Linked DNA regions of Astyanax mexicanus. The protein of the gene in region 2 purifies or fractionates together with the protein of the main gene of each other region. This does not show direct contact. Links are inferred from orthologs where the notes say so. Each region holds a gene or a part of one and is shown on either strand. Other genes may lie near its edges.

The links.
Region 1: the proteins of nkx2.1 (region 2) and foxa1 purify together in Homo sapiens (affinity purification with western blotting; 3 studies listed by BioGRID and IntAct, with this or other methods). This does not show direct contact. The link is inferred for Astyanax mexicanus from reciprocal best matches to the Homo sapiens genes NKX2-1 and FOXA1.

The regions. Positions count from the first base shown.
Region 1 is NC_064421.1:18,933,089-18,945,244, forward strand, and holds foxa1 (hepatocyte nuclear factor 3-alpha), read right to left. Parts: upstream 4,722-12,156; 5' UTR 4,444-4,721; coding exon 4,372-4,443; intron 3,241-4,371; coding exon 1,993-3,240; 3' UTR 1,452-1,992; downstream 1-1,451. Other genes in the region: uncharacterized protein ttc6, read left to right, coding at 10,060-10,758. UniProt on the Homo sapiens protein: Transcription factor that is involved in embryonic development, establishment of tissue-specific gene expression and regulation of gene expression in differentiated tissues.
Region 2 is NC_064421.1:23,804,257-23,815,980, forward strand, and holds nkx2.1 (homeobox protein Nkx-2.1), read right to left. Parts: upstream 4,899-11,724; 5' UTR 4,497-4,898; coding exon 4,127-4,496; intron 3,467-4,126; coding exon 2,793-3,466; 3' UTR 2,317-2,792; downstream 1-2,316. Other genes in the region: nkx2.9 (NK2 transcription factor related, locus 9), read right to left, coding at 10,054-10,541, 11,220-11,373. UniProt on the Homo sapiens protein: Transcription factor that binds and activates the promoter of thyroid specific genes such as thyroglobulin, thyroperoxidase, and thyrotropin receptor. Crucial in the maintenance of the thyroid differentiation phenotype.

The DNA.
Region 1 (12,156 bases), about 4.9 Mb from region 2:
CGGGTTTACTGTGTTATAGACTACTAACTCTGCTCCGCACAGGCTCACTTTATAACACTTCAAATGTTATCCACTAAAAACATAGTTTTATAAAAAAGAAATCTGCAAAATCTAATACTATTACAGCATTTTACCTAAATTATTCTGTTTTTTTTGCCATTAATTTAGAGGGACTGGTCACTGTCCGTAAATGATCTGTGGAAAAATAAATAAATAAATAAATCATACAGTTTAAAATCTATATTGAAAATGTTCAAATTCATTTAGAATAGGGTAATGAGTAAAATAGTGTATTAAATCGGTTATGCCGCTCAGCGCGTTCATACAATGTGATTCCGAGCCGATTAGATGAAATAAAATCTTACACTTTTCTTAAATGTATTATTTATTCCTTGCACTGATTTGGCTTTTATTTTTGTTTTGTTTTTTTGTTTTACCATTTAAGGGTTTTTATTACACGTTATTAGTTGTAGGAGTGCTTGAGCAGTTTTTCTTCTGTCTTCGTTAGCTTTTCTTCAGGATCATATGATCAACTAAACAATCCGGCCTAATACAAAATAACGCGCGCTGTAATTTAGAATATTACACTAGAATTTTTTTATGTTCTTTAAGTGTGTAAATATTAAATACATAAAGAAAAATGTAAAACGAGCCGAGTAAACTCTCACTTGTTCGTCCGAACTCCACCCTCACTTCATTTCCCTCATTTTATTTACGCATCGGGGGGCAATTACATGATAATTAAATGAATTTCACGGTTAGTCAGCCAAAATGTGTGTCTACAAAATACCATGATCAAAGTAAAATCTGTTCAGGTTCACGTGGCCGTCTTGTAGGTTACGCTCGACAAAAAGATGATTTGGCCTCTCTATGATATTGTTAAAAATCCCATTTAAAAGGCGATCGGATCTTTTCTGGCGCGGGGCTTTGAGGCTGCGTTTGTGTTAGACTTGGATTTTCTCTTGGTCTTTTACCAACACGCAGTCAAAGCACATACACTCAGCCAAAGCGCTTCAGCCGAGACTGCTGCCCCTCACACAGACCACCGAACACCAACAGTGCCCCCTTATTATTTACCCCAAACTTCTGTATTAGATATATTTATTTTTTCTTTTAGATTTATTTAATAAAGTGTTAGAATAAATTACGCACAACTGAATCCCACACTTTCAACTGGAATTCATCTCCAATTATTCCTGAATTACATTTTGATAAACTGATCACAAAAACGGTAACACGACAAAACACTTCAACAAATATACTCCATAAAAAAACATTAAATTGACCTATACATTGCCTGAGTTATAAAAGTGATAACAGACATGTAATTGTGTTTGAGATTACACAGATAACAAATGAACCGCATTAGTGATCGCCGATTAAAGGCAGTAAACCCCTGCAAAATATGCAGTCAGCTCTAAACATAAAGATGCCACGAACACTGCCTGGCGTGATTAAGAAATACGTGTTTTATTCGTAATGCATTTCCACGTTTGATTAACTTACTTCAGTACAAGAATTGGGATTGAAATGTTCTTCTCAAACGAGGTAAATAAAACCCAAAAGAACGAGTAAAAGGACAACATCCAAATACATCTGCAGCAGAGAGGTGCTTCACCTTTTTTCTTTTTCTTTTTTTTTTGTTTGTTTACCTGCAGCGCGATCCACAAGACCATAACTGACCTTCATTCGTGCACATTGTAACACACGGACACATCATAGTAGGTAGGGGTCTACAAGTTTGGGGATTACAACATTATTTTACAAGCTTAAAATCGCCTTAAATACACTAGCAATGATTTATAGGTGGGATATACAATCATTCAGGGGAACACTTTACAATATTTTATTATACACATACACGTTATTATACTTTAAAGTAACAGTCCTTTATGCACTGGGTGCATGCAAAAATAAAATAAAGTTTATCTGTCAGCAAGGGCTGAGTTCAGCAAATAATGACAAGAACAGCAACAACAAAAAAAGAAGCAACTAAGAAGTGTTAAGAACCGGTCTTGAATACACACCTTGGTAGTAAGACGCCTCTAAAGCAGAGGGGTCCATGCTGGCTCTCCCGGCCATGGAAGCACTGCCTAGAGGCAGGCTGGAAGACATACCTGAGCCATAAGATGAATATTGCAATGCTTGTTCGTAAGCTTTCAAGTCCAGTTTGTGCTGTTGCTCCGAGGAGGACATTAAATTATTGATGGAAAATGGGTGGTTGAAAGAGTAATGGGGGTCTCCCTTTAGGTGCAGCTGAGACTCATGGGCCATAGAGTGCGGGGGCAAAGGGATAGAGGAGAGAGATGTGGCTGAGCTGGCCACGGGGTGTATCTGTGGGCCGCTGCTCTTTAGTTCAGAGTTGGTGGTACTGCTTCTGTGCTCCAAGCTGTGAGGGCTAGAGGACTGGTTTGCGTTGGCTATGGAGTTGGAGTCCATGTGCCCGGTCTTTGTGTTTGAGTTGTCGCTCGAGGGCGAGCTTGACCCATTCTGGTCTTTTCTCCCATCTTGCCCTTTCCCACTTCCTACTACCTTTCTGTCACATTTGAAGCGCTTCTGTCTACGTAGGTAACAGCCATTCTCAAACATATTCCCAGAATCAGGATGCAGGGTCCAGTAAGAGCCTTTTCCTGGCTTGTCGGGCGACCTAGACACTTTGACAAAACAGTCATTGAAAGACAGTGAGTGTCTGATGGAGTTCTGCCACCTTTGTTGGTTTTGACGGTAGTATGGAAAAAGATCCATTATCCACTGGTAGATCTCACTAAGTGTGAGCATCTTGCTGGGTGACTGCTGGATAGCCATGGTGATGAGCGAGATGTAGGAGTATGGAGGCTTGGCATGAGGATAACTTCTCCTGAAAGTCTTGTTGTCCCGTGCCCTGTTGAGGTTGGGCTGAGCGTATGTCATGGGGCTCATAGTGGGGCTGATGCTTGAGTAGGGGTTCAGTGCATTCATGGAGCTGTGCTGGGCTGAAATCGCATTCATGTTGGTGGGGCTGAGTGCCGTGCCCATGGATGATACCCCGCCACTCATTCCATTCATTGCGCTGCTTGCACTCGACTGCATCCCTGCCATAGTCCCCGGGCTTAGTCCAGCACTTAGAGCAGGGTTCGCATAAGACATGTTAAAGGAACTAGAGGTCATATTCCCACTGGTAGACATACTCATGTAACTGTTCATACTGTTCATGGAGCTCAGTCCAGTGTTCATGCTGCTGTTTGTCATGGGAGAGTACACCTGAAATGAAATTTAATAAACATAAATAAATTTAATGAAACATAATAAATATTCGTTAACAAGAACAGTGTTTTGTGATATAGTAACTTAGTAAATACTTAAATAACTAAATGTGAAGGATATGCATATTTTACATTATTGTACAGCCTTTGTTTACTAGAGAGAACAGAATTAATCAATAAGCAAAGAAACAAATAAATCAGCACAACAATACTAAGAAATAATGAGGAACATTATGACATACAGATTATTTTAGTGTGACTGCTTTGTACTATAATTATTTAACAAGAATTAAATGAAAGTTTCTGTTCTCTGTGTTATTAATATAGTTTATACCAGGTGTATATTCACTGAGGTAAGACCTGGTATTTTGTGGTCACGGGTTGAGACATTTTAAATAGATATAGACATATAAACCCATAAAATTATCTCCTAATATAAAATGTCAAATATTTTAACAGACAAAGTATAAAACTATTCATTATATAATTATTTGAACGTTTAGTTGATATATTGTTAAATAGAACTATTGCCTTTATAATAAACCACTAGAAATCGTTTTTAAGAGTTTATATAACATGTATTTTCACTGCATTTAAAAATAAAATCTGTGAAAAATGTTAACTAATTTTAGTTTATTTTATAACGATATAGTGATTTAATTTTACCAAACCTGCACAGAAATTTGAAACTATATTAAATATTTGTCAAATAAACGTATACAATATTTTAAAATATTTTTAATGACTCCACATACATCTGCCTAATATTAAAAATACTACATTCTTTAAAGCATATTTAATATTTAAAAACGCAGTTTTAAATCAAACGCGCATTTTCAGCAGTACTCTAGTTAGAACAGTACTATTCTAACGACTAGTGCACACCGGGATCACTACCGCCACCAAGTGGGACGGCCAGTGATGTAGGACCTGATTAGAAAACCTAACAACTGGAAAATACCTATTTTCATTTCCAGGCTTTAGATTAATGTTTAAGTAGAACTGAAGTAAAATCTGACTATAAAAACGCGTTTACTATAAAATCTGCATTGCGCTTGTTTTAAAACTGCTGGACTAAATTCTGCAGTGCCCACATTACATTACAGTAGACACAAGTCATCACACGTACCTCTTGCGCATCGGTGTAATAACTACTCCAGTCTGGAGTTTCGTGTCCTTCCATTTTCACTGCTCCTAGCATTATGGTGGAAATCTACAGGTCGTCAACATGCAGTTCTCAGACAGAAGTTTTCACCAAGCGCTCCGGCGAATGGTGCGCCAATCAGGGGTGGGAGGTTGCGCGGCGGTTTGGGCGGACTGAAGAAATGCTGGGAGCGCAGTGAGCTGAGGGCTGTGGAGATCTTCCCCTCGCTGTTACGTAGAGAGCGGTACAGCCCACTTCACGGGCTCATTTGCCTAGGTCGCTCTCCTCACTCAACTAACATCTAAATATCCCTCATGCCCTCGGACAGAAAGGTGTGGGGCTGTTTTTAAAACTTTGGCAAAGTTTTGTAATATATATTCCCGAATATACGAACAAATCTTAATGATTTGGAAATATCATACTTAAATAAATAAAACTATTCCATTATGCATTTCAAATTCTTACTGCGGGGCTCGTGTTTTAAACGCCTACAGAAAATGTATTTTTTTATAACTAATCGTATGAAATAATTGTTTAGATTTGTAGATTTTTCCAGATTCAGAGGTACATTCTTTTAGGAAATGTTAAAAGGTGCTGGTGGTGTTATTTATACATGTCGTGTTGTATAAAGAAGTTAAAACTGCTCTCACTATCCCGCCCCTCTCCCGGATAAACAAGGCTTACATTTCCCCACTGTAGCTGCACACCTGCTAATGAGCGAATAACAGCGCTCATCATCCACTTACAGCGGATTATCTCCGAGTGATCTCTCACACAATTACAGCACAAATCGATTTTCCACGGGGCGGAATGAAACGGCTCTTCAGGCAGAACATTACACCGTGTTATCACCGCCCCCTGAGACCGGGGGTTCACTGCGCTGGGCCGGAGCTACACGGCGAGTCGCACAACCAAAGGCACGATTTCATGGATTGAGCCATGAAGGCCTTTTTTTACTCTCTGTGGATTATCATTTAGCTATTCAAGCTTAGAAAAAGCGAGCCTAGCCCAATCAGATCATTTATGCGTTTTATGTAGAACTATTAAACAGCCTCATTTTGGTTTTTTTTTGTTGTTGTTTTGTTTTGTGTGTATTTAGTTTTTTGTAAGTTGTTTATGCGTTTCTTTTTTGCATGCATGCTGAGGTTGAGAAGAACCAAATTTCCCCTCACTGCAAACATACAGCTGGCTAACTGATTATAGCGCAAAGGCTACAATATTAATTATAACTTACCGTACATAACATACAGTATATTTACGTTAATTCGACCTCCAATACTTTTAGCTTTAGCTGCATAATAGCAACCGTGATACAAAACTGACGAAACATGTCAAACGTTTTTGTGCTGCTCAACTGTGTTCATGTTGTGTTCACAAAATTGTGTACATTGTATTCTTTTTTACATTGAATGATTAGTTTTTTATGTTTACCGTTCACTTGCTGCTTGTATAAACTTAATTTGCCAGTGTTAAAGCGATACACAATTAATTTACCATTAGTATTAAATTAAACCAATTAATCACAATAATTACGTTTTCGACTTATTTATGACAATATATGGCTGTGACTGTTTTTTTTTCTAATTGTTGATAAACGTTATGTCATTAAAATGCACGGTTGTTCACATGCAACTTAACTTGAACAATATTTTATCTAGTCACCAATGACCAATGCAGCAATAACTCCATGCACAAAAAGTGTAACTGTGGCAGGCAAAGAAATAAGGTTACTCTCCTAAACTAGTTTTAATTAAAAGTTTATTCAAAAAGTACGGTATACCATTGATATGGTCTAAAAATGACAATAATACTGTTAATCGCAATAATGTTTAGGACAATATATCCTTCACAAAAAGTTTTCATGACAGGCCTACTCACAGAGTTAAATTCACACTGGTAAATGTAGCTAACCACTGTGTAAAATACTTATTTGATATCTCAGCTAGAATGCTGAGGCAGGATTACATTATGGACTTACAGTAAATTAACATTATCTTTATAATATTTGCTAATCGTGATGTCTATTGTGTTTATTTGTATGCTTGTATATAACATATATAACAGTGAACAGTATTTTAGCCAGTCATGCAATGATCAATTACTGCAATCAGTGACTCAAAACACACAGTGTGAACTACAGTACGGTAAAAAAAAAAGTAAATATTTCCCAAACTCTGATTAATTAAAATGCTGATGTTTTTAAAAGGGTATGAATAATTAGTTCTGATATTCTATTGCTATTCTATTATCATTATGTCAATGTCATTTAAATGTTGTTAGAATTACAATAATATCATTTCTTGGATGACATTTCGCCCACAAAATAAAAATTGTCAGAATCCTACATAACCCTTACAGACCCTGCCTCAATTACAATAGACATAATGTTGTTCTTTTTTAAACTTTTTTTGCACATAACACTAATTGAGACAGGTTGACCATTAGAATGGATCATAAACCAGCCAATGAAACAGTAGCTTCACTGCCCACTGCACTGGACAAAAAAAAAAAATCTGCAACTCGGACATTAGGGCATGTGAGTACTACAGAACAAATGAGGCAAAGCATTACAAGCTCTTTTTTTTACTAATTCTTTGTGATTTAGAAAACTTTTTTTTTATCATGTTTAGGATTAAAATGTTTAGTTAATTCGTTTTTTTTTAATAGTTTTTATATTAGAATAGTAATGTCTTATTGTGTGTGCATTACAGAGAGAAAAAAGCATTCTCATATTTTTCCATCACTGAAACCTACAGCTCTGGAAAAAATTAAGAGACCACTTCAGTTTCTAAAACAGTTTCTATGATTTTGCTTTTTATATGTTTGAGTAAAATGAACATTGTTGTTTTATTCTATAAACTATGGACAACATTTCTCCCAAATTCCAAATACAAATATTGTCATTTAGAGCATTTATTTGCAGAAAATGAGAAATGACTGTAATATCAAAAAAGATGACCTCGAATAATGCAAAGAAAACAATTCATATTCATAATTTTTTTGCTTTTAGATAACTTTATTCCACTCCTGGTGCAAAAAATCAAGCATTTCAGCTTGGCTTGATGGCTTGTGATCATCCATCTTGCTCTTGATTATATTTCAGAGGTTTTTAATTTGGTAAAATTGAAGAACCTCATCATCATTAAGTGGTCTCTTTTTTCTCAGAGCTGGATAAAACAGAACGGGAACGGGATAAAACAGCAGTTACTGGAAACGTGTGAGTTTCCAGGTATAATCCAGTGTAGTTATTAATGTGCGTGTTTTCAGTCTGAACACATTAGCAGTTCAGTTTAGTGCTCTACAGGTTTGCCATATAGCTAAGTGTCCGGCGCCCCGTTGCCACAGCAAGGTTTACTGGTTGGTTGCTAGGAGACGGGGCTGCTGGCCCGCGCGCTGAGAGAGTGAGTGGAGGAAAGTTTCATAAAGTCTCTCTCTGAAAAGGATCAGAAAATTAGCTACATTTCAGCCCCACATAACCAAAAGCAGCAGTGACAAACCCAGAATGATCGACTAGTCCTGAGAGAAATCTGTGTTAAAGGTAAGAGCCAATTTATTTAAGGTAGCACTTATTTAAATTTGAAAAGTGACTCAGTAGCTAGATCAACTAGCATTAGCTGACCATGTCAGTTAGCTTAACTTAGCTCTCACACCACAGGGTTAAATGATTTTAAATGTCACGCTCTGTGCCCAAATTCTGAATGCAAGAATTTTGTTTTGAATTATGGGTACATTAAGACTGAAACACAGTTAGATAAGTGTTACAAACAGGACACTGCATTGTAACTTACCCTCAACACTGCTGATTTCAGCATCTAAAGTCATAACCACCTAAATGTAAGTATAAAAGAAAGGAATAATGAGAAACAGAACAGATACAGAGTATCAGCCAACACAGGCCGCAGTTGTGACTTAAACTTTTTTCAACGTCACCAAGCATGTAAATAATGTAAAATATCAAACATTAATGTGCTTTTGTACGTTAATTCTAATATTAACACAATTTTTATCCATCTACACACAACACATATAATATTTAAATCTCCCACACAAACCACATCAACATGAACCGACAAGCACATGAAAGCAGTATTAGATAGCTAGCTAAGTTACCCTGCTTGTTCTGCTAATTCAGTGCCATTAAAGCATACTTTACCTTAGCTGGTAACTTTCCAAAAAAAAGGAGGTTTGTCCATAGAGCTACATAATAGTGAAAAGGCCTGTCTGCTGAGTGTTTGAAATATGTCATCATGACTAGCTTCACCAGAAGGTTAGCTGGAAACACCAGAAGGCTAGCTAACTAGCAGTTGTGTTTGTGTGTTTTTTTCATTTGTTGAAACAACAAACGCATGCTGTGTGAACGGTGAAGCAAACCTAGAATTACATGTTTTACAGCACTTAGCTTCCGTTTAAAGATTGCAATTAAGTATCTTAACCCTTATATGTAGCTTAGTTTAGGCAAATAAATAATAAAAAAAATTATATAAACAACTACTCTCGACTTACGTGACCAAAGAACCGCGAAAATGACCTCGTTTCGTCACAGTTGGACTGGGAGTCGATTTCAGAAGGAGTCGGTTCGTCTATTCTAGTCATTTGGGAATCGAGTGGACACTTCAAGGCTTTAGACTCGATTGAATATAGAGATAAAGACATACCTTGAGTTCTAAAAAATACTTATGCGAAGTTTTAATACGGTAATAATGTTACCGTATTTTACGTTCGACAACTTTAAAAACAACATAAAGCCTAACATTCTGTTGAAAAGGTGGCAATCTTACAGCCATTTTGGCCTTGATTCCTTTACTTACCTGAAGAGTCAGAAAGAATCAGGTAAAACAAAAATCAAACAGCCAAGTTACAGTTTAGCTAGATTGCCTTGCCTGTACTGTTAAATAAAATGTTTCATTCTTAAAACCAATGTTTCCCACTAAAGGTTTGAAAACTTAATTAATATTGTAGCTTTTATTTTTACTATTTTGTGGTTTTGTGACTCATTGAATTCTGTCAAAAGTAAGTACATAATATGCTATCTGTTAAAACAATTCTTTAAATAATCTCTTTCTGGTATTATTACTTTGAATCTAAATGAAGCAAAAACGTTTTAATTGAAAGTTTCAGTGTTTGATAGGGTTTTTTTTTTGTCTGCATAGAGTTGGTCCAACACATTTAATACAGCAAGTAAGTTGTGACTGATGTCAAATAGCACTTACATCAGTACAGAAACGCTTTATTTATTTTTTTATTTAGCTAGTGATTTTTGCCACGTGCTATAGACAATGAATAATTTAATTCTAAAACAGTCAATTAAATTGCAACCCATAGTACATTCTTGAACTGTTTCGTTTTGTCATCATTGTTATTTTGATGGATTATGTATTCATACAGACAACATGCCAGGAACAGTGAGGACATTAAACACAGTGAGCAGCTAAAGATGAAGAAACTGATCGAAGAACTGCGTTAAAAATTCTCCACAGGAGTTTCACCAAATGACAAGCCTCTTATGTAAAACAACACATTTAACTGCTCAGGTTACACCTAAGGTACCTGTCTACAGATATTCACCAGGGAGCCACTTGTGTCCTGCTCCTTACAAGTTCAAGCAGACCTTCCTTAATTCAGCCTTTTTTTCAATAAGGTACTCAGTCAGATAATAACTCAAAGACATCCGAAATGAAAAGAAATATCAATCCAAATGTGTCCACAAGTGAAAAGACTTCACCAAAGCTTGGTTCTGGACAAGAGGCGGTGAAGACGCCAGCTATAGCATCTCTTGCAGGAACCGCTAGATTAGTATCTCTGTCCAAAAGGCCTCAGCCTCCTGCTAAGCCTAGATCAGAGAAGCCTTCAACAGCAGGGGGGGCTTTTAAGAACCAGACTCCTTCAGAGCAGTTGTCAGGTGAAAAGAAGCAAGCTCCTAGAAATCAGGGTCAGTATTTAACAGTTCTGGATAGATGCTGTTTGCTGAACTCCTTTAGCTCTGATGAAATTACAGTGGATCGTAATGAGTATGAACAGGATAGACGAAAATGCAGAAAGGAAAGCGAGAAAAAGAGAAGACAGCTGACGGATAGGCAACAGGAGGAGAGGGCTTCTAAAGAACACAGCTCAGGTAGTTCTAAAAGCAGCTCTGCCACCAGCACCATTCGGAGTATAAAGTCTGTCACTGAACTACTAGAGGAGGCCAGAAATATTGCAACTGGGGGACTGCAGGAGATCCACCACCAGAGGGTGACAGAGAAAGCAGTATCAGATATGATGAAGCAGGAAAGTGGACACACAGTGAATGACCAAATGACCAAATGTGGAGACCTGCATACCTCTGAGCCAGGGGTACGAGAACATGTGGTCTTTGATATTTCTGATAAGCAGGTAAGTAAAGCTACACATTAGACTGCCTTTTGTGTAAATTTGTGTGATTTGTTTCTTATCTGTTTTTCCATTCACATTTTATTATTCTATAATTTAAAGTGACAGTATGTATTATTTTGTTTCTAAACTTCCGAGTTTGTTTCTTAAATTTCCGAGTGAGGAAGGGACAAAATATTGTATTTAATGGTACCGGTGTGCTTTTTTCATGGAAATTCTTCTGGTTTGGGTAAAGTTAAACAGCAAGAAAAAAGTCAGTTGAGTAGAAAACAAGAAAAAGAGCAAACATAAGAATCTACTTTGACAAGGGCCAAATTGTGATGACTAGATGAGACAACCAGAACAGGGTGTTTCCAGTATACTGTATTCAGTTGCAAAATATGTAAAACATCACATTCAAAAATATGTAAAAAAAAAAAAAAAAATCTAACAATTACATTTGGGCCTGAATTCCATATTACATGAGTGTTGCTATGATGGTGAAAGCAGAAAATGCTGGATCTGACATAAGACATGGTAACACATCCAATGTTTTAACAAATAGCTTAAAACAGCACACCTCAACACTGTGATGGATTTCTCTTTGTGAGATACTAGCGTTACTACCCCAATTCAGAAAAAGCTGGGTCAGTATGGAAAATGCAAACCAAGTTTCTTGCATTTGTTTTGACCTTTTACTGCTGACTCTATTAACCCTTTTAGATCTCAATAATGCTCCATTGATGGAAAAATAGAATAATGTGGTTTTCTGTCTGTAAAGCACACAAAAGAAGATTCTAATATTATAAGATCAGATCTGGATACAATTTAAATCCAATTAACTATAATATATGATTTATTTTTTATGTCCATTGCAATGGAACGCTGTGTGTGACAATATTTATTTAATATTGTATATTGACCATTTTCTTTCACAAACCTAACTTAAACAAAACAAAAAAAAAATCTAAATCACATTAAAAAGTTGTTGTATCTAAGTAGTTCAGGTTTGATGGTCTACTTTTAGACAGTTGACCAAAGTTAAGTGCTTCATTTAAAAACTGCTCATTAGGGCTACATAGTCTTATCGCTTCAGTATCACCTAATACTCACACTTTCAGTATTACAAAGTGTTATTTTGTCATCACTAAATGAGATCAGTCAGATACATTTATGCACACAACATAAATAATCACAAAATAAATAATTACAAGTCAGACAGTTCAGTATGGACTATAAAGTCTGAAACTGAATAGTCTGATTGTTGAGTGTGTTTTATGTGCACACTGTGTATCTCTTTCTCAGGATGAGCTAGTTTTAGTTAAGTCACCAGTTCAGACAGTGGCAGACTAGCATTTTGAAATCTTCCTTCAGGGTGACATAAATTCACAATTACACATCATACATTCATGTTTACTACCA
Region 2 (11,724 bases):
GTGAACTTTTGATTTGGTAAACAAACACCTAGTAAAGCGTTTGTATCTCTTTACACTATTTTAAAACATGTTTCTTTGAAGAAACAAAAGCGTAGCTCCTTTAAGTGTACAAATGTTTAAAACAGTGATACTAATTAAAACATATATAGATGTTTTAAAAAATATATTCTGTTTGAACATAAGAACTGACAGTGTAAGATACTTTATATTAGATGTCCTTCAATGAAGTATGTGCATTTCAAGCACCACCGTGCAAATGTAGAATTTTAAAAGTGCAGAATAGATTCAGCCAATAACAAATTATTTAATATTTAATAGCTCTAAATAAAAAAAAAGGTTCCTAGGGCCGCGACAACGATGGAGGAACTGTTGATTTAAAGTGAATCGGCTGATTTAACGACCCTTCATTCAAAAGAAATGCGCCATTACAATCAGGGACGCATTAAAACCTTCCAGTACTGACGCAAGGTCGCTGTGGCTTGCTGGGCCTCCGTATTATTCACAAATACGTTCACCAGGTTCAGCCGCTTCTTGATTTTGACACGTGAGAATGGGTTGGAGAGCCGCCTAGGCTTACAGCTTGTAACTGTTCAAAAATTTCTTTCTCTACATTCCCCGAATTAATTTTCAATGTACCGAGTTTTCTCCATATAAAAGAATTGAAGACATTAACCTCTCTAAAAAGCCATCTAAATGCAAGCACATTAAGCTGTCAACAAACAAGCCGCCAGGTGGAATAAACAGCTGCCAGGATTCCGTATGAGTCCCAGAGTACAATGGAACAGGGGAAAACTCCAATCCACTACTTTAAGGGAATTAGCATTTATCAGCTGTCCCTTTCGTTTTAGTTAATGTGAACCTAATGTGCAAATGCACCGACAACTATTAATGAGCTGTCAAGAAATGTAAACATCTTTTAACAGGCTAATTCAAACAAATTATTACACGAACCATACGAGTATAGCATACGTTTTTTTTTTTTACCTTTGTACACATTAAATATGAGTTGAGATGATTGAAACTGGTGTATTATATTGACCACAGCACAGGACTTTTCGTTTAGAGCTTTGTTTAAAACCTCAATGCATAAAGTTTGTAAGGAAAATTAGACTTCACTGGAGAATACTTCAGGCAATTCTCCACATAAAATTAGAATTATGCACAATACAACATACTGACTGGAACTTTTGCAGTATAGAACGTGGGATTGTTTTTCTCCCGGACGCTATTCTTTAGTCTAATTTGCAGCAGATATTCTGGTTACGTATTTAATGAATATGTTTACATTTAATATGTTTACATTTATTCGAAAAATCTTAGATCATCAAAATACAATCAGGAAAAAAACAGGTGTGTCCAAAGTGGTTTTCTAACTAGGCTACCATAGCCCTTTACTCTTCACTAACACACGCGCTCGCGCACATACATAATGTTTATACACTTTATCAATACGTAAACAAGAGGGCCATTGCATTTTCCCCTAGCTTCTCCCCATCACTGTATTGATAGACTATGTGTATATTGTCTTACACTGTTATTTAGGGGAGCACTGCTGTTTGGTCAGGGATCTGATTGATAAGCTTGCTTTTAGGAGCGTTTGTTTGATGTGCGCAGCTTTTAAAGGAGTGGAGACCTCACCTTTACTGACTCACTCGTGGCCAGACAAACGCTCGCGGTAAAAAGAAAAGAAACCCCAAAGGGCGCCGACTTCACAAAAGCTCTGCTTTCGGTTTACCTTTGCAAAAGACAAACAAGATTAAGGCTTTCAAATATAACTGAAGGTATCGAGCGTGAAATAATGTGCGGATTTTTTGCGGGGTAAGTGAGCACTTATAATGCGGGTGCCAATTCTGAGGCATTTTCTTCTGCAAGAGAGAATGTGAGCTATTACACACAGTAAAAAAGGGACCTTCTTGGCTGAGATAAAAATAAACGCACTTCACATTTTGTAGCTAGCTCTTTCTCTGTCCTCAAATGGGGCACACACACTTTAGAAAAATTAGAGCATTTCAGAAATGTTGCAGCAAAACTGGTCCTTAAATGTATACATTTTTTTTTCAAAATTTAAAACAAAATATGCTATGATATAACTACACTATGACTGTATAATTCTATGCATAATTGGCTAAATTCTGACAAACAATTATACTAAAGGCGTGTTAGGAATTAGATTTTTTTTCATAATTTATTAATATGATTGTATGACTGCATTTAAGTCAAATATCTATAAGTTACAAGGAAATGAAACGTACAAATACAAATGGAACTCAAATAACATGGAACCCTCAATATTGATAAAAATTTATACAATATACATATCGCTAAAAACTATGTATTTAATTCAACCATTTTACAGAAATGTACAAGCTACGGCTTACATTGCAATCTATAAGAGTCAGGTTGAGAGGAGGCGTCTGTAGGGGACAAAAGGTTTTTTGCTTTAATCCGTCGGGAATGTGGGTTTCTTATTGTCTCCGTTTAAAAGCTATTATAAATAATTCCATCTACTCCGCGATCTTTGGACGCACATCCTGGAAAGGTCATCTCATTTTTCTCAGTCTGAAAGAGCTGAATTGTTGCTCGTTGCCTGTATTTTTTTTTGTATCCCCACCAGTCTGAGGAAAATTTAGGGGGTCAAGCATGAGAATGGGCAACAGCCGCTGTTCGCATGACTATCTGATTATTTCAGTTTTCTCGTTGACCTGTTCAGGGTAGACGCCGAGACTGGGTAGCACAGTTACTGTCTGTCAGTCCGTTTGTCTGTCTGCTTTATTTTATTGTCCACTCCGTCGTCACCACGTCCTGCCATAAAGCAGAGCGGAACAGGGTAAGGCCGCGCCGTACTCAGTACCGGAAGAGTTCAGGTGTGACAGACCGGACACCTGAGTTTGGAGGGACGGGGGGCTAGCGCCGTGCTGCCCCAAATCTGGGGACTGTCCGGCACTGCCCACCTGCTGGCTCTGATGCTGCCCCATTGAGCCGTTGCTGGACATGATCATGACGTTGGCTCCCTGGTGGTGGTGATTCTGCACGGCGCTGTTGGGCGTGTGGCCACTGCCTTGGCAAGGCTTGCCGTCCTTGACTAGCACTGGCACTGCCACTCTCCGAGGGGACTGTTGCTGCTGTTGCTGACACGAGCCGCCCTCCTGCTGCATTTGCTGCTGAGACACTTTGTCTTTGGCCTGCCGCTTCATTTTGTAGCGGTGATTTTGGAACCAGATCTTGACTTGGGTTGGGGTCAGGTGAATCATGCTGGCCAGGTGCTCCCTCTCGGGCGCGGACAGGTACTTCTGCTGCTTGAAACGCCGCTCCAGCTCGTAGACCTGAGCTTGCGAGAAAAGCACGCGACGCTTTCTCCTAGGCGCGCTGCTTAGAGAGCCCATGCCTTTGCCCACGTCCGCCAAAGAGCCCAGGCTGCTCATGCTGCCCATGTTCATGCCAGAGGAGGAACCCATGAAACGAGAGACTGAAAGAAAAGAGGACTAATTAAATACAGCAGATCATACTGTAATGTTACAGTAATGATGATAAAGAATACTTGACATTAAATAATTTTACGAAAACTTTAATATACAAAGCATAACAACAAAAACAATATTAATAATAAAATAATAACAGTAATAATGATAATTAGACAAAATAATAGTAAAATATCATTAAAAAAAAATCAGTAATAATCAATACCATTCATTTTCTTTCTGGTATTTTCACTACGCCCAGTTACGCCAATTATGCATACGTGATGCTCATCCCGTTTTCTTACATTCGCCTTAAGCAGGGTCAACGCTCAAGAGCTCGTTAACGGGCTGAGTGGATTTGTTTGAGCTACTACACCTGCCTCCTTTAACTCCGCGAAAACAGCCGTGAGCAGTAAACCTCACCCGACACCGTGCATGTGGACCGTATGCCATACTTTCTAAAAGGAGCTTGTTCTAAAGGGTTAGCTGTACTGCTGTATACAGGTGTTCTCCTGAACTAGTGTAAACTACCTAATAGCTTGACTAAAGGAAAAATAGTCGCCTCCGTGAAAACCGAGTCAATTCCTAAAGTGCCAAAAAAGGTGCATGTGACACCTCGCGTCCTGTCGTATCAGCCGACGACGACATGCGTTCTCAAGTGCACTTACTTGTAGAAAAGCGCGGGTCAGGGTTTGTTCCGTACCAGCTGGTGGCTGTCGTGCTGCCCCTCATTCCGTCCTGATAAGCCGGGGGCAGCTCGCTCATGTTGCCCAGGTTCCCGTTGCAATAGCCTCCCATGGCCGTATGAGACAGCTGCGAAACCCCAGCCGCGGTCATGTGGTAGGCGGCGGGCACCGTCCCGTTGTGGCCCATGTGGTGCTGCTGCATGGTCGCCTGCGTGACTTGCGGTTGTCTGTACGAGGCGAGAGAAGCACCCAAGTTGCCGCCCTCCATACTTACTTTTTTGTAGCTCTCCTCAAGAGGACTCAAGATATCGGACACTGAGAAAGGAGTCGTATGTTTGGGGCTCATCGACATTGTTTTGTGCTGGCGAGGGAAGAAATTAGAAGGCAAAAGCGAAGCCGTCCCTTCTCGTCGCTGGCCAGCTTCCTCTGGTTCCTGTTGCTTTTCGTGCAGCGAGCTGGACACGTAAGAGGGAGCCTGGAGTCCGCCTTAATTGGCTTGAGTGGGAGCTCGAGGCTGACTTTCGTTTGTTTTAGCTGGGTGCCAGGTTTAAGACTACCATCAGAGGCGGGGCATCAGCAGCAGCGAGGGCAACAATACAAAGCGACGCTGTCATCTGTGCACCAAACGCAAAGAGCCCCATTACGTGGTCGCGAGCTGCCCCTGCCATCCCCCCAACCCAGCAAAACGCGCGCACATGCGAGACCCCATCAGCGCGTGAAGGTGTGCTGGTTTCACTTTCAAGGTGTAAATGTCTTTATCGCTCTCGGGGTAATGTCGGGGAACAAAGTGATGGATGGAATATTGACGGTTGGAGTGATGTTTATGAGGGGGGCCCTCTTAATGAGAAGTGCACACGCAGACTTGAATCTTTGAAAACCCACTCAGTTGTTAGAAAGAAGAAAAAAAAAACAGAGAGGCAAGCTTGAGTTGAACTCCTGACTTTTAATGGCCACAAGAGGCTTGTGGTGATTGCAGGCGTGTTTACATTATTGCCCCATCGTACTCAGACATGCAAAAGTGCCCTTGCAGTGAGGAAGGAGCGCTAACTGATAATAAATAAATAAATACATATGCGCGTGTTAAGAGGCTGCGTGAATGATTAACTCTCCGGTTTTCTGTGTGATACATTATTGGGCGTACGCAGAGTGTTGTCCAAATTCCCATCGACTCCACACAGACGCGCAGTGTTAAAGAAACCCGCTCGACAGAAGAAGGAGGAGGAGGAGAGGCTCTCAGGTAAAGTTAACGGCGCTCAAGTAGCCTGCAGCTCTCCAGCTCTTTATCGCCAGGCAGGTACACACAAAGCTCCGCTCACTGCGCCTGGTCGCAGTATGTGGCCTCCTGTACTGGAGACATTCTGTACTGAATTAGTTATTAAGACACTAAGCAGCAGATTTTTGCAGCCGTTTAGAACAGCACGGAATATCTGATAACTACAGAAACACAGGTCAACGGATCAGTTAGATCTTTCATATTTATTTAAATATGTATAAAAACATGTATATAGTTGGGTTAGTATAACATTACTACTGCTGCTACTACTACTACTACTTCTACTACTACTACTACTACTACTACTACTACTAATAATAATAATAATAATAATAAGAGGAAGAATATATCAAATAATGCTTTATTACTGTGTAAATTATGTGGACTTTTTCGTTGCTGCTACAATCATTATTATTATTATTATTATTATTATTATTATTAGTGGTGGTAATAATAATAATAATAATAATAATAATGTCAAATAATTATTTATTATTGTGTACATTATTGTGTATTTCCGTTGCTACTACTACTATTATTATTATTATTATTATTATTATTATTATTATTATTATTATTATTATTACTATTACTATTACTATTATTATTATTATTATTATTATTATTATTATTATTATTATCGTTGTTGTTGTTTTATTTAGACCTATAACAATTTGTATAGCAGTTAATGTGAAAAGTTCATTTTCAACAGCTGATGAGCGCTAAGTGCATACCTTAAAAGTACCTTTATGTGTTTTTTTTGCAAATAAACTATTTCTTTATTGTTTGTCTGTTTGCTATGTGCAAATGTCAGGGTTTTCTACTCTTCCAATAGTTATTTTCACATTATTTTTCGTTTCTATAAGTGTTATTATTTTATTAATAAACTACCAGCCAGGTGGATTGTGTTAGATGTGATCGGTAACTTACCGTAAGGTAAGCAGAATCGTAAATCTGAAATTACTCCCTCCTGTTCAAACAGGTGATTTACATACACGAGAGTAATACAACCTTTAACACAACCAGTAAGCAAATGTGGTGTAGAGTGAATCTGGAGCTGAGTGTGTGTTGATTGCTTAATAAAATTACTGTTTAAAAACATTTAGAAATGTTCACATAACCCTACGTAGCGGAAAACAAGAGTTAGCGTTAGTGCATAAATATTAACACAACAAATGTTTTATTAACAATATTATGGCGATTGTTAGTAATACATGTTCGAGCAGTATTTTGTATTCATTCAGAGTATGTGTAAAAGATTGTGGTATTATGGCATGACAGTTTCTATTAATTTAGATTTATTTCTAAATGGAAATCGATCGGGCGACAACCGGTGATGTCAGGCAACCACATTTAAATATAAAAAAAATATGCATACAAAAATATCTTTGAAACAATACTATCAATCTGACAGACTACCCGCTTTAATCATGTAATGTAAAGCGCATGCGATTCTTCATTAGGTTTCACTACAGGCTGACGAAAAATTAAGCAGAATTAAAAATATTGCTTATCCGTAACGTGTAAATCTCAATCTTTGAGCCTGGTCTGCAGCCCCTGCAACCACATTAAAATGATAGCAGTTTAATTAAATTGCCGCCAGATAGGGCATGTAAAAATATAAAGCTTTAGCCCCCTCCCTCCCGCTTTCTCTGGCTCTCTTTTATTGTTTTGACTTGAGGGTAGACAGCGTCTTCTGGTGGTTATATCTTGAACAAACGTCAGCAAGGTCAGTCCCACAGCGCTTCTTTCTACGTTTACATTAATTTACTATCGGTTTAGTTTAACACAAACAACTCTTCACAATTTTAACCAGTTCTCGATCGTTTTTATGCTTTTTTTGCTTCGCTTATGTTAACTCCAGCTGCCACACAGTTGTAGTGGCAGTTTAATTTAGTTTGTTTGTGGCAGTATCTGTTGGGCCTGGTAGAAGGTGAAGACACCTTGGCACCTCGCGGTGGTAATGAAGTGTACTTCGCACAAGCAATTATAACAATTAGACTCATAACGTCGTTCCTTCGAAGTCCTGGGCCTCCTTAAGCCAGTATTCAAAAGCCTTTTTAATTATCTACATCAGGCAGAATCCTTTGTGCTGGAGCACGGCTATCATGGTCAATTAACTATAATTAGACAGAATGCTTTCACTTGTCCCTTGGAAAAAACACAACGACAAACGCTGTATTTGGGCACATGTAAGCTTTTGTTTCAATCTAAACCCATGGTTTATTGTATGTCGGTTCATGAACGACAGTAGGGTGAGCTTTACATTTCTGATCAGTGGATCTAAATGTATAAAATTACCAAATGAGCTCTACACTCTTCATCACTTGTGTCTTAGGAGACAGAGAAGAATGTGTGATGGAAATAGTAATAAGGAAATCGTTGCCTGTTTGCGTCTCTTCAAAAGCTCTGACAGAACTGATTATCCATTGCCCCTGTACACGAAGAATCACAGTGCAGGCCTGACACCTAGTGGACAATATTGTGCAATTTCTTTGGGAAGGGTGTCACTAGGGACTCTAGTACTTCTTAACCCTGTATCAGTAGAAACCAAGCAAAAAAGACTGACCTCAAGATGGAGCCAATGGCGCGTTAAGCCTCAACCCACGACGTGTCCATTGCCTTAGATTTCTTAACATTTAAATGAATATTCCAGAGCTTTCAAATAGTTTATTTACTCCCAAATGTTATATGTTTATGAGAGGTTGATGATGTAATCATGCTGGTACATTGGAGACAAAAATGTTTCATCACAAAAATATAGTAAAACTCTTAATGGGTTTTCAAACACACTGTGTAACGTCGTTTTAAGAGGCTCTGAGGCCTGATGCATATCAATTCAGATTAGATAAATGCTGAAAAAGACAAATCTGACAACCAGCACTTTTATACACAATACATTTAGCTATTTTATAAACTACACAGTACTGGTTATATAGTTGTCATTCCCTTGTGCACGTATTTTAAATTATATGATTAAAAAGAATATAAGTGCATAACTATTATGTTTCAAATAGTCTAGCAGTGAATTATGAGTATTCCAATTTAAAATATCCCCAGCTATCCTTTAATTTTTTTAGCCTCTTCGCTCACTAATATACCCCCTGTGATTTATAAAACATTTTCTGCTAACTTTTGTTGTTTATAAACATACATTAAGAAGAATGTAAGTGAAAGTCACATCCTATCAATATAATCCCCCTCTTTCTCACATTCTCTCTTTACAGAAAGCTCTTAAAGCCTGTCTTTGTGACTCTCACCAAGCCCACCAAGTTTTAAAACACCATTGTGTGCTTAAACCCCATAAATTTGTCACCCAGGACTGATTAAACATCATGAGAATTGAAACACTGAGGATTTTGTCTAGGTCCTTTTGGAGCTTGCACAATGGTCTTTTCACATGGAGACCCAAACAAAAAGCGGTGAAGGCGCTCCAGAGCGCTCCAGTCACCAGCACGGCGGCCTCCATATGTGGGGCAAGGTGGCTTGAGACAGGACAAAAGGCCAGGTGACGGAAGATGCGCAACAACCTCTACAATTAATGACGAACAGCTTTGTGGCTAAAGCAGCCTGGAAGAGAGAATGTAATTGCAGACACATAGCCATCTCAATAGATCCTTATTTTATGTTATAGCTCGCATTTGTAGGGTGCATTCCATACATTATTTTATTTTATTCGATATGATTTGGACGCTTGCATTAAAATAATAAAAATACTATTTATCTTTAATTCTTCCATATATATCATGACGTGAATTACAGAATGGACATTGATATCCTTATAAATAGTTAGCTGCCCGGTCAAAGAGCTAGTCTGTGTCCAGGCCTAATCCTGCAATGTTTACCTGCTATTCTAATGCTGAGTTTTAAAATACGACTCAGGATTGGTGTTTGCTCTTCTCTGCTGGGTGGAAGTGAAAGTCTTAACATTATAAAAGCCTTTTGCGTCTCGCTGGGCACTTTACTCTTCAACAGCACCATCAAATCTTTAATAGTACATAACAATGCCCCGGATTAACCAAATGTGTCCAAAAAGAACAGTAACTGAAGTGAGGTCTGAATTAAAGCAATCATTTCATTTATTTGTTAAATTATTTTAATTATTTTTAGATATTAAAACATAATACTACTACACTGGTGGAGTGGGTTCTCTCCACATACATTTTAACTAAGCACCGAACACCATAAAATTACCATAAACCAGCATGAATGTTTTGTTTAAAGAGGTTTCATTTTTACTTACAAACTTCTAACAGTGTTTTATAGTGAGTGAGAGGAATGCTTAAAATAAGGAGTTCAAAACATTTATTTTTATTTTTTTGTACAAAAAAAACTCTAACTCTGATATGATGCCCAGTTTTTCAGTTATTCTCTTATCTTATATTTCGTGTTTCTATAAAAAACATAAATCATCTTCTTAACTACTATAATATATATTCACACACATTTGGCCTGACAGCCAGTTTTTCAGTACGTAGTTTAACAAAACTTCACAGAAAACATGAGAAAACAAATACACTAGTTCCTAAATATAAAATATAATATGTGCAAATTGCATTTACTCAGTCAGTGTTTACACTATACATTTATAATAGTCCAAACAGGCGCCCTGCACGCTGGATCCATGTCGGAGGGTTCACCAGAGGAAGTGAGGTCTGTGGTCCTGAGTAAAGTGCTGGTACTGGGGCAGAAGAGCGAACGGCTGGATGCGCTGGAAACTCTGAAGCCCATAGGGCGGGATCGAGCAGACTCCCTTTTCTGCCTCTGCGACGCAAGTATGATAGGGTTTCCCATCCCGAACCAGAACCGGTACAATGACCCTGCGTAGAGACGGTGGCTGACCGGCCTCCTGGACCCCACACTCTGTCCGTGCTCTCTTCATCTTATACCTGTGGTTTTGGAACCAGATCTTGACCTGCGTGGGCGTGAGTCGCAGCGCGCGCGCCAGGTGCTCCCTCTCTGGCGCAGACAGGTAGCGTTGCTGGCGAAAGCGCCGTTCCAGCTCGTAGGTTTGTGTCTTAGAGAACAGCACGCGTCGCTTCTTCTTCTTTTGCTCCATTTCCGTGGCTTCCTCGCCGTTGCCGGTAGAGTCAGGGGATGTCTCGGGGTTGCTCTCATCGGAGGCTAAAGAGATAAAAAGCAATAAACATTTAATTTGAAGTATTAATAAATAAAAAGAGATAAAATAGCCTACCAGACCACAACCTAATGAAAACCCATGCATGCAATTACTATTTTTTTTTACAAGACATCTAGGACGAAGCAAAAATGTATGAATGAGCAGAAGTCCAGAAAAGCAACTTATTTTTCTTGTGATCTTAAGAGAACATAGTTTTGTGTGAATAACCAGTATTGGTTTCTCAACTTTTTGTCATGATAACACGGTACAAAAAATAAGTTGTGATCACAAGAAAACAACTTTGGTCATAGTAGGATGACAAGAAAATTTGTGACTTCAACATAAGGCCCAGAAAAATATAATTAACTATCGCCATTTCTTTACATATGTATAAAATCTTTCGTATGAGCCCTTTATTTAGCACTATCGCTAACTCAACAAAAACACACAATTTCATAAATGGTAAAAAAAATGTTCTCGGTTCACCATTGTGATTTAATGTGAAACACTTTTGTAATCTGAAAAGGTGTAAAACCTATATTCAGGACATTTTTAACTTGAAAAAATGTTTAAAATATTTTTATGAAAAAAATAACCAATAGAATAAACCAAACGAAAATTTTCTATTCTCTCTTAGCACACTATTCACAGTTCGACCAGTGTTGTTTGTTATGCAGACTTACACACGCAGTGGCCCCTGTCCCTGTCCGTCCAGGACGAGTACGGAGATCCAGTCAGTGCATGAAGAGGTGGAAGGCAATTGGCGTTCTCGGCATCATTTTCTGGTAAGTCCAAAATACTCCTTACGGTGAAGCTAAACTTGGTGGGCACAGCCATTGGGTGGATCGGGTTGTAATTCCAGCCGATGTGTCCCTTCCCAAAGAGTTGTATCCGAAGCGTAGCTGTGGAGTGGTCAGGCTCGGTAAGTGACAGTGTGTGTACACTGATGCGCCGCTGTTTATATAAACACCACTTAGAGCTGCTAAACAGTGGTGTCTCCTCCCTGGGCCCTCCTAAGTACCTCAGTGACTCGAGTGCTTAAATCGCAGTCAGGGGTATGTGTGTGAACTCGCAGAAGAATGGTCCAGCCATGTCCACAATGACTGAAGGAAGCACTCTTCATCATTACAGATTCGTAAGAATTCGTGAAAAGTAGGCAAACAGATAATGGTAATTGTTGAGGATGAA